Linked DNA regions of Coturnix japonica. The protein of the gene in region 3 purifies or fractionates together with the protein of the main gene of each other region. This does not show direct contact. Links are inferred from orthologs where the notes say so. Each region holds a gene or a part of one and is shown on either strand. Other genes may lie near its edges.

Region 1 (3,631 bases), on a different chromosome or scaffold from region 3:
CAACATTACAGCACTACTTTATTAACAGTACCTGGAGTTTCTGGCAGCAAAGTGGTACAAGGTGAAGGTGACTCACTGGGGAACAAGTTAACAGGATATCTAAAAAAACTTGTCCACATTCTTGGATGCAAAAGCTTTGTGCCGATGGCTTATTTTCTTAGTTGTACTGCCCGACAGCCATAGCGAGGGCTGGTCATCTCTGTTCTTCCTCACTCATTTAAGAGATTACAGATGAAAAAACAACAAAAATGAGAATAAGCATCTTGTCATTTGTGGGGATGGGACTAAGGAGGCAGATGTTTTCCACAGACACTGGAAAGCTTAGAAATTCTTTGACCGAGTGTATTGGATGTATTTTAAAGGATGACCTTGGCAGAACGTTCAGTATTATTACATGAAAAAAGCTGTGCTGCATTCATCAGTGGAAAAGCTGAGCTGAGAAAGATCTAAGAAAGAGACCAATTACTTACTTTGGAGGTGACAGCAAGACAAAACTGAGCATTTGTTTGAATGAATTTTATTTAATTCTATAGTATACAAGTGGGATTTTGGATCCCTCAGCTTTCCATCATCAACATAATGGAGAAGCCCCACTGTACTAAAGGGAGGGAGAATTCTGGAGCCAGAAGACAGGCTAAATCAAACCGTTTCTCACCACATGGCCAGAAATTCTTCTTCCTTCATACAGTGTGCTTCCCAGGCCAGCAGGTTTACCCCAGGAGTAAGAGAGAAAGCTAGCTCTAAACTCTCCTTCTTCCTCCTTGCCCCAATAAAAGAGGCTGCTCAATGCCAGACAAAGTAGTGGAATGATTAAAGATAGGGAGTACGTTAAAGTTTTCAGTCTCTCAACCAAGCTACTAGATTAAGCAGTGGCCTGGTTACTCCCTCTCTCCTGAAAAAGATCCAGGAAAATAGAAGACCTAAAATGCTGAAGACTTACCTCCTTTCCTTCCCCCATCCCATAGCCTTGTTCTCTCAGCAGAGAGTAGGCAATGAACTCTGAGGAGGCTGAAGGAAAGCCAAGGAAAATCAGGGGCTACCTGAATCCCTGGGAATCTGGTGGCTACCCTGGTGCCCTCATTCACTCCCTTTGAGGTTCAGAGACCTGTTTGGAATAGTACACAGAGAGGGCCTCCCTTAAGGATTTGGAAGCAGCCAGGGATACAGGACACACTGGAACTGCCGCAAGGGTACACACCATTCCAGGGATGGCCCAAACCACAAACAGGGCAAGACTCCCCCTAGCCAAGGTCCCAAGGGCTGGGGGAGCTGGGACGAGGCCCTGGCAGGGGGAAGAGAGCTCCTGCAGCAGTATTCAAGGCTCATGGGATTTTACTTCTTCTTCCTCTCCTGGGAACAGCGAGGGCAGAACCTGGTAGAAAGGAAAGCAAAAAGCCAGCATTTATGATCTGATACAAACACTGAAATCACAGTTTCAAAGGATCTTTTCCACGATATCAAAGTCTTAATTCAAATTTTCCTTCTGAAAAAGTCTTATTTTCTCCTTTATTTATTTATCTCTTATTTTCTGTCACCCACGACCTCCTCTTTCCAGAGACCAATGGGCCCTCCAGAACGTTTGTTTTAATCACTCACTCACCATTTTCCTCTTGGTTTTGTTGTCAGACCCACACAGGCAAAATGAAACCATTCGATGGAGCACTGTTGAGGTGGAGAGCACTCAGTTAAAAAGCAGTTCTCTCTTGAAATCATTGTTTATGGTCTGCTGAAACTTCCCAATGCTTAATCACGAATTCTGAAATCACTAGTAGCAACCCTAATGGGATCTGCTGGGAAACAGTCTCACACCCAACCTACACGTTGTTCATAAGCAGAATTCTCCCTTGCTGAGTACAGGGCAAAGAAAATATCAGTCGTATTAGGGAAAACCCCAAAGAAAACTGCACTTAACCGGCCAGTCCACTGCTCTTCCCAGCTGAGCCCTGCTACTGTCACTGCCTCTATATCAGGCCCCACCCAAGCAGCACAAGACTCTCCATTCCCTTCTCCCCCACATCCATCAACTACAGGCTCTTACATCTGGGTTGTCGCAGCCAATCATCTCCCCATAGGAGACCTGGTGGCAGAGGCAGTAAGTAGGCTCATTGGGGTCCACAGGCATATCCAATACATCTGAAGGGTGCACATTTCCAAATGTGACTGAAGGCATCCCATATTCTGTGCTACTACAGGAAAGAGAAATAAATCAGGTCAGTAAATCAACTAGCATCATATCTCCCATTACAATGCCCTTGCTTGCCAGAGACTGCCACTCCTCCTTTTTAAGTACATACATCCACATCCACTAGAGTGATCTGTCTTCCCCTTCACACCACAATCCCTTGAAAAAAACTAAAAGGTCTCCCTCCTTTCTTTCCAGGGAGAAATATACAACATCTGGTCTGGGTGGGGATTAAACTCTTCATAGGGAAGCCTGGCTAAGTCTCTCTTAGTCTGATTTGTAGTGCTGCTCCTCATTCCCCCAAGCGTCTTAAATGCTTACGTGCGGACAAGCTTTAATTTCTTTTGGGCAGTCTTTGGTGCCTCTTCATCAGAATTCTTCCCTTTAGAGCGTGCACGTGCAGCTTTCTTCTCTTTTTGGGCTCGGCCCTCTGGCAACAAGAGAAAAAGTTATTGCATATCCCATCCTGTCAAAATAGACACCCGACAGTAACAACCTCTTCAGCACCAAAATGCACTCCTACTTCAGAACTCTGGGCCACGCACTTCAGCTTAATTTTATCTAGTGGCCTTGAATACGCTCACACAAGAAGAGCCCTGGTCACCATCTTTTTACCTGTCCTTCAGATTCCAGCGTAACAGTCTGTACCACTTCAGTGCCTGCCTTCATCCCCACCACTTCCACAGTCACTTGGCTGCCTCCTGTATCAATCTGCAGCCCAGTGGTGGTACTCACTCTTCTTGCCCTTGCTGGAAGAACTGTCATAGTCACTCGATTCTATCTGCTTCTCCTTCAGGTCTGCTTCAAAGCGAGCAAGATCTGTGTCCAGCCGTCGGATGTGCTTATCAACCTGCAAAGACAGTGATCAGGAGTTACCACAGAACAGAGCCCAAGACAGCAAAGAGGACAGGGTACAGGGCTTGCTCTAAGAGAGGGAAAGCAAGAGTGGGTGAGGGTTGAAAGAGAGAGATCAGGGTCTTCAGCACAGCCTTTCATGAAACAATCACTAGACACTTCCCTTCATACCATCTCATAGGTCTGCATAGCCAGCTGAACCTTGTCATCCCCAAATTCTTTGCATTTCCCGTAGGCCTCCTGGATTTGCTTGAGAAGCCCCAGTTTTTCCTCTGACGACAAAGTCCGTGCATTGCTGATATACTCCGTGGCCAACTTATCAATCTCCGATTTGAGGTCTGAAACAAGTTGACCATTGAACACATAAATACATGTACATACATAGGCACTATAGTGCCTTCTGTTAAGAAAACTGCAGGTTTCCTGCTTTTCCCCGAGGTCCCAGTGATGAAAGCAAAGGAAGAAAAGCCATCCAGGCTGCACAATTCCTTTCCCATCACAGAAACCATCTCTAATCCTCACCTTCTGTTCTCTGATCCAGATCTCGCATAAGCTGGAAGTTTCTCTGCAGTTCAAAAGGCAGATTCTCAATAC
Region 2 (4,259 bases), on a different chromosome or scaffold from region 3:
CAATAAAGATGCTATGTAATGAGGGGATTGAAAAAAATATATCAACAGGAGGATGACTCCCATTCACCTGCCAACCTGTAATGCCTGATGTATTTTAAAAACACCTTCACAGCCATCTATGTAAATTTGGATGCTAGCTGCATGTTTGCCTGTTAGGTACCACGAAAGATCTGTACTACATAACATTTTGGGGTTGTTGCTTGGCAAAGCAGGGAAACCAGTGCACAACTGGCATGCACATGGAAGAATGTTGGTGAGGAATGTTCCTGCAGAGCACAATCTGAACACAGTTACTGCTAGGTCTGGGCTAAAGAGGGTGCTTCCAAGTTCAACAACGAAAGGGATCGAGTCCATAGAACAGACCCTGTTCATCTTCTGCTGTCCAGCTCCAACACTCACCTGTAAGATGGAATTTGTGCAACTGCCACCATGGGCATAGATGAACGCCCATCAGTCCCCTCACTAGGTTCCTTTTTGATCTTCTGCTTCAATTTCACTTTGTTCTTCTTTAGGGATGCTTGGGGAGGACCAGAATTGCCTTCTTCCTCCCTCTCCTCCTTCACAATGCCCTCCTGCCTCTCACTGGTAGCAGCTGAATGCCCTTTTTTCACTGTTCCAGGTGGGGAATGGCTCTCGCAATAGGCAGTCTTGCGCACAGTGAATGTTGTGCCATTGATGCTGGTCTCCCTCATGGGTTCAATCTTCATGAAGAGACCAGCCCGCTGGGCACAGGTGACATGGAAGGCAGTATAACAGTTCACTTTGTGGCATTGGATAGCAGCTCCCATGCCCTTCTGCTTGCAGATATAGCATGTGAGCTTCCACCGAGCTGGGGGAATGTTATTTATCCCTTCAATGGGCTCCAGGAACACAGTGTTTGCAAAGCAGACCTCTGGAATCCAAATGGCACAAACCACATGAGCCCAGCGGCCATCACTGGTCTGCTTGAAGGCTCCACCTTTGTTTGGGCAGAGTACACAATCAACAGGGCGAGAAGGGGACTGTAAGCAGCAGCGGCAAAGCCACTGCCCCTCAGGAATATAGGGCACCCCGTAACACTCCTGGTGCACAGCCAGGTTGCACATATCACAGAACAAGATGACGTTGCTGTTGTGACACTCATCATCCATGCAAACACAGCAGAATGCATCCTCATCAATGACAGACTGCTGAGTCCCGTTGTTTCGGCTCTCAAGGTACGACTCCTTTTCCAAGCGGTCCACCAGCAGCTCAAAAGTCTCAGCAGAAATAATCCCATAACCATCATCCCTTCTCTTCTCATTCACCATTTCCAGCCATGCCAGATCCTCCTCATCCATGTCATACTCCACCTCTGCATCAAGGTCCTCGGGAGGCTTCTCAATGTACCGGTAGTAGGCAGCAGGGAGAGGGGGGGCCTCTGGCTGTTTCAGGGAGTCCACCACACGGAACTTCGGCTGGGGTAAGTGTAAAGATGTTCCTGATGTGTGTTTGGAGCAGGATTCCTTCTTCTTGCCTTTGGAAGGTGCTTTCTTGGATTTTGAAGGGAAAAGGGGCTGCTCGCTGTTTTCCTTATTGCTGTTGCATTCTGTGATGTCCTGGGCAGTCAGTTCATCCTCTGTGATGATTTTTAAGGGATCGTAGATGCCAATGCGGTGAAGCCGCCCATCTATGTCTACTTCCACAATGCGCTGGGCCTGAGCGTACGTCAGCATGTCCCGAGTGGGTGAGCACTTCAGGCTGTAGGGTGATGGAGAATGCCGGCCCTCCAGATTCTGCCGTGACCTCCTCCGAGGCTTCCTCATCGCTGTGGTGCACCAGAGACGCTGCAACAAACCGGGACCAGCATGAGCAAAGGAGACAAGCTAACAGGAGCAGCACAGATTGAAAAACCCACACAGCATCACAATAGAAAAACATTTCAACTAAGGGCCTCAGCAATTTCAGGCTCAGAGGTTACTTCACCTTAAATACAAGCAAGTACTGGATGTATCAATCATTTCTGTAGTACATATCTGAGCAAGGCACAGCACGCTCCAAATCTCTCTGCTTGCAAACCAGGAAATGTTTCCCATACCAACAGATGAGAAGAGTTGAAATGGGTTTTAGAGAATGGCATCTAAATGCTCTGCTGTGCACTCAGACCAACAAACCATCCAGATCCTCAGAAACGCAGACATTACTAATAAACCCGCTTGAACCGTTCAGTACTTAGTTCACACAGGCCAAGGAGTTCTCTCTGTTCTTTTGCCTGCAAGTTCCCAGCAGTATACATAATGTGCTGAATATTAGGTCTGGTTTTCCAGGCCTAAAGGAAAGCACTCTTCCTGCCCCACAAAAGCAGTTCCCCCTGCCCACCATTTTGTGTGTTTTTTTTTTTTTAGCTGAGCTCTATGTGAGAATGTATACCAGCACTGCTCTGAGGTTCAGAAGGAAGTTCACCCACATCTCCCATCCCACTGCAACACTTCTTCCTTCACCCACATAGTGAAAGAGTTTCATGGTGAAAAACTATCTACCAGTTTTGCCTTCCTTTCTCCTGCAAGCTGGTTTCTCACACCATCCTGCAGACAGAACATGCACTGAGCTAACCCATGTCCTCCACATCATGCAAAATGGATTACAAAAGTCTATGAAGAACCAGAGGATGAACTGAACAATGGGTGCTAGCTGCGCAACCCTTCTTCTCTTGGGTAGGATCTACAAAGAAGTAAAATGGAACAAGTATGGGAACGAGCAATATGGATCCAGAAGGACTTACAAGTTCTGTCTCAGCATCAGCTCTTCTGAAGCCACGATCCATGTACAGGCCCCTGAGCTGGTTCCGCTTGCAAGATCCACAGGGGTACAAGTAGGAAAGCAGCAGGACACTGTCTAGACCAAGCTGTACTGTGAACTATGCAATGGTGCTCAAACAGAGCCTTAACTAAAAGCCCAAGACAGCTCTGCCCTCACAAACTGCTAATCAGCAACAAAGATAATCATTTGAGAGTCAGCTCCAGCCATTAAGGAGGTGCCCAACAAGGAGGGGTGGAGATGAGCTGGCAAGAGGAGCTGGAGAAGAATGGAAAGGCAGCAGCAGGATCCCAAAGATCTGAGGGCAAAAGAGGGAAAGTAGAGAGGAAGCCAAGTGAGTAATGCGAGGGAGAAGGGCAGTCAGGGATAAGAGTGCAGAGCCCAGGCAGAGGAACAAAACAGGCCAAAGAAAGAGGGAGACGAGAAAAAGAAAAGCAAATGTAAAATCTCCCCAAGAAGATAAGTCAGCCTGGAGCTTATCTGTTGCTATGCAGGGGCCTGAACCAGCAACTCACCCTAAGTTAGAGTACAGCACTTTCAGCCCCTTTCTGTAGGACCTGCAGACAAACAAAGCATTTGAATTTAGCTGTCACGTTATTTTTTTGCTCCATGACGGACTTAACTTCACAAAACCTCAAGTGAATCAAAGCAAGCAGCACCTCGTGGATCAGTGCCTGCAAGAATTCATGAAGTTATTCCAGAACGGAGTAACGGATTTCTGGAAAAACACTCTTCTCCTGAAAGCACTGCCCTGTTAACCAGGAGTCTGCCTGATCAGCTTGGTCAACCAATGGAAAACCAAGGAAACCCTGCTGACATATGGCTCAGGTACAACCTAAGGCAGACTGGTTTAATTGAAGAAGACACTGGATGCAAGACGTTATATGAACATAATTATTGTGGAGGATAAAGCAATCAGAATGACCTGACCACAGCCATTATTAATATTGTGTTCAAGAAAAACAAGACTTTAGCTGATGGCTGGCAGTGCTGAATGATGAGAAAATTTCAGCCAAGCAAGCACTCCAAGGAAGGGTTATTTTACCTGCTGACATGACAAACAAGAACAGGATGTTATTGTAGTAGCTTTTGAGAAACAGTCGGTTTACTGTCTGGAGAAATTACCCCAAGTGGGCTTTTTACCACAGCAACTGGCTGCTATAAACCAACCCATTTGTAAAACACACAATTACTTAACACTACATAGAAGCATCTAAAACGGCACTGAAATTGCTGCCAGCCAACACTCAGCGCCTGGGATAAGAATTCCAGCTCATTTCTAAAAGGCATCTGGATAATAGGAGAGATACAATCACCCACCTCCGAAAAGCTTTGAAAGCAGAAATGAAACAAACTCAGCCATGCCAAGATGGAACACTGTGACCTTGCCTGCAACACAGCAACTTCTAAGTAATCTAGGAATGTTACCATCTTCTCAGTACACTTGACAACACTTCACCAGCCACATATAAAACATTATCCCT
Region 3 (3,646 bases):
GGATTCTGGAAGTGACCTGTCTCACCGCCCTAAGCGCCGCCGCTTCCATGAAAGCTACAATTTCAACATGAAATGTCCCACTCCTGGTTGTAACTCTTTAGGTAATTTCAGTTCCAGGATTGATTTGTTGACTTTTTTTGCCTTCCTGTGGTGATATTAAGCCCCCCCCTCCGTTGATTTATACAACGTAACGATAGGGAGCTGCTTAGAATCAGAAACAGTACTGAGAATTGGGTATAGAGAAGAGTTACGGAGCATATCCACAGCTCTATCTTTATTGTCTAGAGGTGTTTGGGGGACGATGGGATAAAGAGCAAGTTAGGAGAGTAAGCACAGGTGTGGGAGGAGAATGCAGAGCCTTGTAGGTGAGGGTATTGATCTCAGCCAAAAGCAGGTTCTCAGCAACAGATGAATGCAGTCATCTAATGTACCTGACTGCCTGCATGGAGCGCAGCTTTTGAGTTAATGTGAAAGGGATTTTCCTTCTTTGTTCTTATAGCTTGTGCCACGAAGCATGAAATGTTTTCCTCCTACCACACTGTTAACAAATTGAGTTATTCTCTTGAGAAGCTCGTATGCAGTATCTGACCATCTGGGCTGCATTTAATGATCATATGCTGAAAGCTTTCTCTTTTTCCTGATCCTTTACAGGACACCTAACTGGAAAACACGAGCGACACTTCTCCATATCAGGATGCCCACTGTATCACAACCTGTCAGCAGATGAGTGCAAGGTAATGAAGTCTTCTGTTTTATCTCCCTTATGCTTTTATAGGGCGGAGTGCCAAGACTTGTTGTTTGTGCATAGGAAATAGTGTGATCCAGCTGATATCCTTAGCTATAAGACAGCAGCATTTGTCAAATAATTTATGTTACACCTAAACAGACAAAGGGACAAGATGGAAGCTGTGACAGTAGTTTGCTGCAGTGTTGATGGTGGAGTTTTGACTTCCAGGTGCGAGCACAAAGCCGGGATAAACAGATTGAGGAGAGAATGCTGGCCCATCGGCAGGATGACAACAACAGGCACGCCACCAGGCACCAGGTGGGCAGTCTTCATGTAGTGGAGTGGCTGCTCTGTTAAGAGTAGGAAAAAACTCAGCTTAGGTTTCTAGTGACAGTGACTTTAACTCGATCTCCCTTCTTTACCACTTAGTTAAGCTATCGTGTTAAGTCCTGTGGCTCTCTTTTGCAATCTCAAATTTGTTTCAGCAAGGAAAATTCATTTTCTCCTTCGGTAAGAGCCTGGAGCAGCTGGTGAGAGCCAAGAGGAGGCTTTGAGCAGTAGTATTACAGAAGAGGCTGGAGTTGTTCTCACAATGGTCTTTTCCGTGTGCTTTCAGCTTTTCAGCTGAATTTCTGCAGACCCATATGCCACCATTCTACTCTGCATAGTTCCATCAGGGGAATTATGTTTCTCAATTCAAATGAGTCCTGATTGAGAGTCAGGGTGAGCTGATGAGTCAGCAGTGAGCTTTTCCACGTGATTAAGCAGTGCATAAGGATTGCACCCTGTCTTGTGGGACTGAGGTGTGTTGACAAAGGCAAGCTACATAAAGGAGAAAAAATTGTGTTATACCTTAAGTGATTTTTTATGCATGCAGGATTCGGTTTGGAGGCAACAAATGTGATAAAAAATAGAAGGCAGCACAGAGCTCCTTCAGGGTGAAAAGATGTAGGTGAATATTTGAAGTGCATGAAGCCTAATGAAGCTTTCTGACTCTGTTTCTTTTTCAGGCACCAACAGAGAGACAGCTTCGATACAAAGAGAAAGTAGCTGAGCTCAGGAAGAAGAGGAATTCAGGACTAAGCAAGGAACAAAAAGAAAAATACATGGTAAAAGCAGCAATTCTTTCATTCCTTTGTATCTGGAATGAAACATTCTTGGTTAAAAGAGGTGCAAAATTCAACAGCCTGGTTGGAGTGTGTCAATAAAATCTCCTTTTTATGTTTTCTTGCTCTAGGAACACAGGCAAACTTATGGCAATACTAGGGAACCTCTCCTTGAGAACCTGACTAGTGAGTATGACCTCGAGCTTTTCCGAAGAGCACAAGCACGGGCATCTGAGGACCTGGTGAGTCTTCTAGCTCACAGTTGTTCAGAAATGTGAATGGTTTTTGGGTTTTGTTGCACCTGAGCAGGTAGAATCTACTGTAAGATTAGCACCCACAGCCCAGCCGAGTCAGCACAGTTAGAGTAGGTGTGATGCTGAAATCACTCAGTGGGTTTACTGAAAGTATAAATGGACCTGAACATCTGCAGAGACAAATGCCGCAGTGCCTTGGATGAGGAATAATTAGTAACAGCCTCACTTAATAGGTGTATCTTTTCAGTAAGGGAATGGACAGCTTCACCCATGGAAACAGCAGCAAAGGAATGATTAGAAATGAAAGACAGAAGTCTTGGCAGTAATTGGTGACTGAATGAGGTTAAAATCCTTATATTGTGGCTGAGGCTTCTGTAGGTGCTCTTCAAAGCTACTTCCCATCTCCAGAAATGAAGCAAAAGATTCTTTGATGCTCACCAGTGACAGTGGTATCTGGGATGTCTCAAGGCTGAGAGTTGGGCTGTATCTCTTCCTGCAGATGAGGGCAGAAGTGTTTAAAGATGTTTTCTAAGTCATTCTTCCACCACTAGCTAGTGCTTGCGAGCTGGGCTCAGGCTTAGTTTACTTGAGGGGTTTGTGGGATATGTCATTAGGTCACAGACTTAAAGTGAAGGATCTCCTTGAGGGAAAGAAATACAGCCCCTTCCTCTCAGCATCCCTTTAAGGCATATGTTAATAGCTGTTAATGGATTTCATTCATAGGAAAAGCTGCGGCTCCAGGGCCAGATCACAGAAGGCAGCAATATGATTAAAACTATCGCTTTTGGCCGCTATGAACTGGACACCTGGTATCATTCTCCATACCCAGAGGAGTATGCTCGTCTGGGACGTCTCTACATGTGTGAGTTCTGTCTCAAGTACATGAAGAGCCAGACAATACTGCGCAGACACATGGTAAGGGCTGGGAAAGGTCTTTGATTCCTGAGCTTCAAATCAGGCATGAGCATGCAGATGGTTTTTAAGCATTATTACTGCTGTCAGTTCAGTTGTTCACTTTGAGAGGTGAGAAGATTCTGGGTCATTGTAAAAGAAAGTTTTCCTAGGCTTGATTTCTGGTCTGTTCAGTGGGTTACAGAGGATCAGAAATGAGATCTTAACTTAAATTAAACAAGCTTGCGTGTCTCCTGGTGTATCCAGCAGCTGTTGTAACCTCTTCTACCTTTAAAAACAGTAGTGTCACCCTAATTTTGTTTACTTCTCATAGGCAAAATGTGTTTGGAAACATCCACCAGGTGATGAAATCTACCGCAAAGGCTCCATTTCAGTGTTTGAAGTCGATGGGAAAAAGAACAAGGTAATTAATTGTATTAATAGGCCTAGCATTGCTTTTCCTGTAGAGAAACAGGATGCAAATGGCTCTTTCTCTCTCTAATGGTGGAAAGGCTACTGCAGGCTGGTCTGTGCATTCTTGCAATTCTGACGTTTGTTTTGTCTGCATTCTCACTGTGGTTATTCCTCACTGCTGTTGTGCACATGCAGTTTCACCTGTTCTCTTGCACTCTGTTGGATCAATAGCTTTTGGGGGCTTATGGCAGGAT

Evidence for each region.
Region 1: the proteins of KAT7 (region 3) and ING4 purify together in Homo sapiens (affinity purification with western blotting; 6 studies listed by BioGRID and IntAct, with this or other methods). This does not show direct contact. The link is inferred for Coturnix japonica from reciprocal best matches to the Homo sapiens genes KAT7 and ING4.
Region 2: the proteins of KAT7 (region 3) and BRPF3 purify together in Homo sapiens (affinity purification with mass spectrometry; 3 studies listed by BioGRID and IntAct, counting the BioPlex papers as one, with this or other methods). This does not show direct contact. The link is inferred for Coturnix japonica from reciprocal best matches to the Homo sapiens genes KAT7 and BRPF3.

The regions. Positions count from the first base shown.
Region 1 is NC_029516.1:69,399,063-69,402,693, forward strand, and holds the end of ING4 (inhibitor of growth protein 4), read right to left. Parts: coding exon 3,560-3,631; intron 3,376-3,559; coding exon 3,209-3,375; intron 3,033-3,208; coding exon 2,918-3,032; intron 2,613-2,917; coding exon 2,504-2,612; intron 2,187-2,503; coding exon 2,039-2,186; intron 1,663-2,038; coding exon 1,601-1,662; intron 1,373-1,600; coding exon 1,333-1,372; 3' UTR 502-1,332; downstream 1-501.
Region 2 is NC_029541.1:568,830-573,088, reverse strand, and holds the start of BRPF3 (bromodomain and PHD finger-containing protein 3), read right to left. Parts: upstream 2,901-4,259; 5' UTR 2,783-2,900; coding exon 2,741-2,782; intron 1,806-2,740; coding exon 400-1,805; intron 1-399. UniProt on the Homo sapiens protein: Scaffold subunit of various histone acetyltransferase (HAT) complexes, such as the MOZ/MORF and HBO1 complexes, which have a histone H3 acetyltransferase activity.
Region 3 is NC_029542.1:2,704,770-2,708,415, reverse strand, and holds part of KAT7 (histone acetyltransferase KAT7), read left to right. Parts: coding exon 1-101; intron 102-651; coding exon 652-734; intron 735-955; coding exon 956-1,045; intron 1,046-1,737; coding exon 1,738-1,836; intron 1,837-1,964; coding exon 1,965-2,075; intron 2,076-2,810; coding exon 2,811-3,002; intron 3,003-3,312; coding exon 3,313-3,402; intron 3,403-3,646. UniProt on the Homo sapiens protein: Catalytic subunit of histone acetyltransferase HBO1 complexes, which specifically mediate acetylation of histone H3 at 'Lys-14' (H3K14ac), thereby regulating various processes, such as gene transcription, protein ubiquitination, immune regulation, stem cell pluripotent and self-renewal maintenance and embryonic development.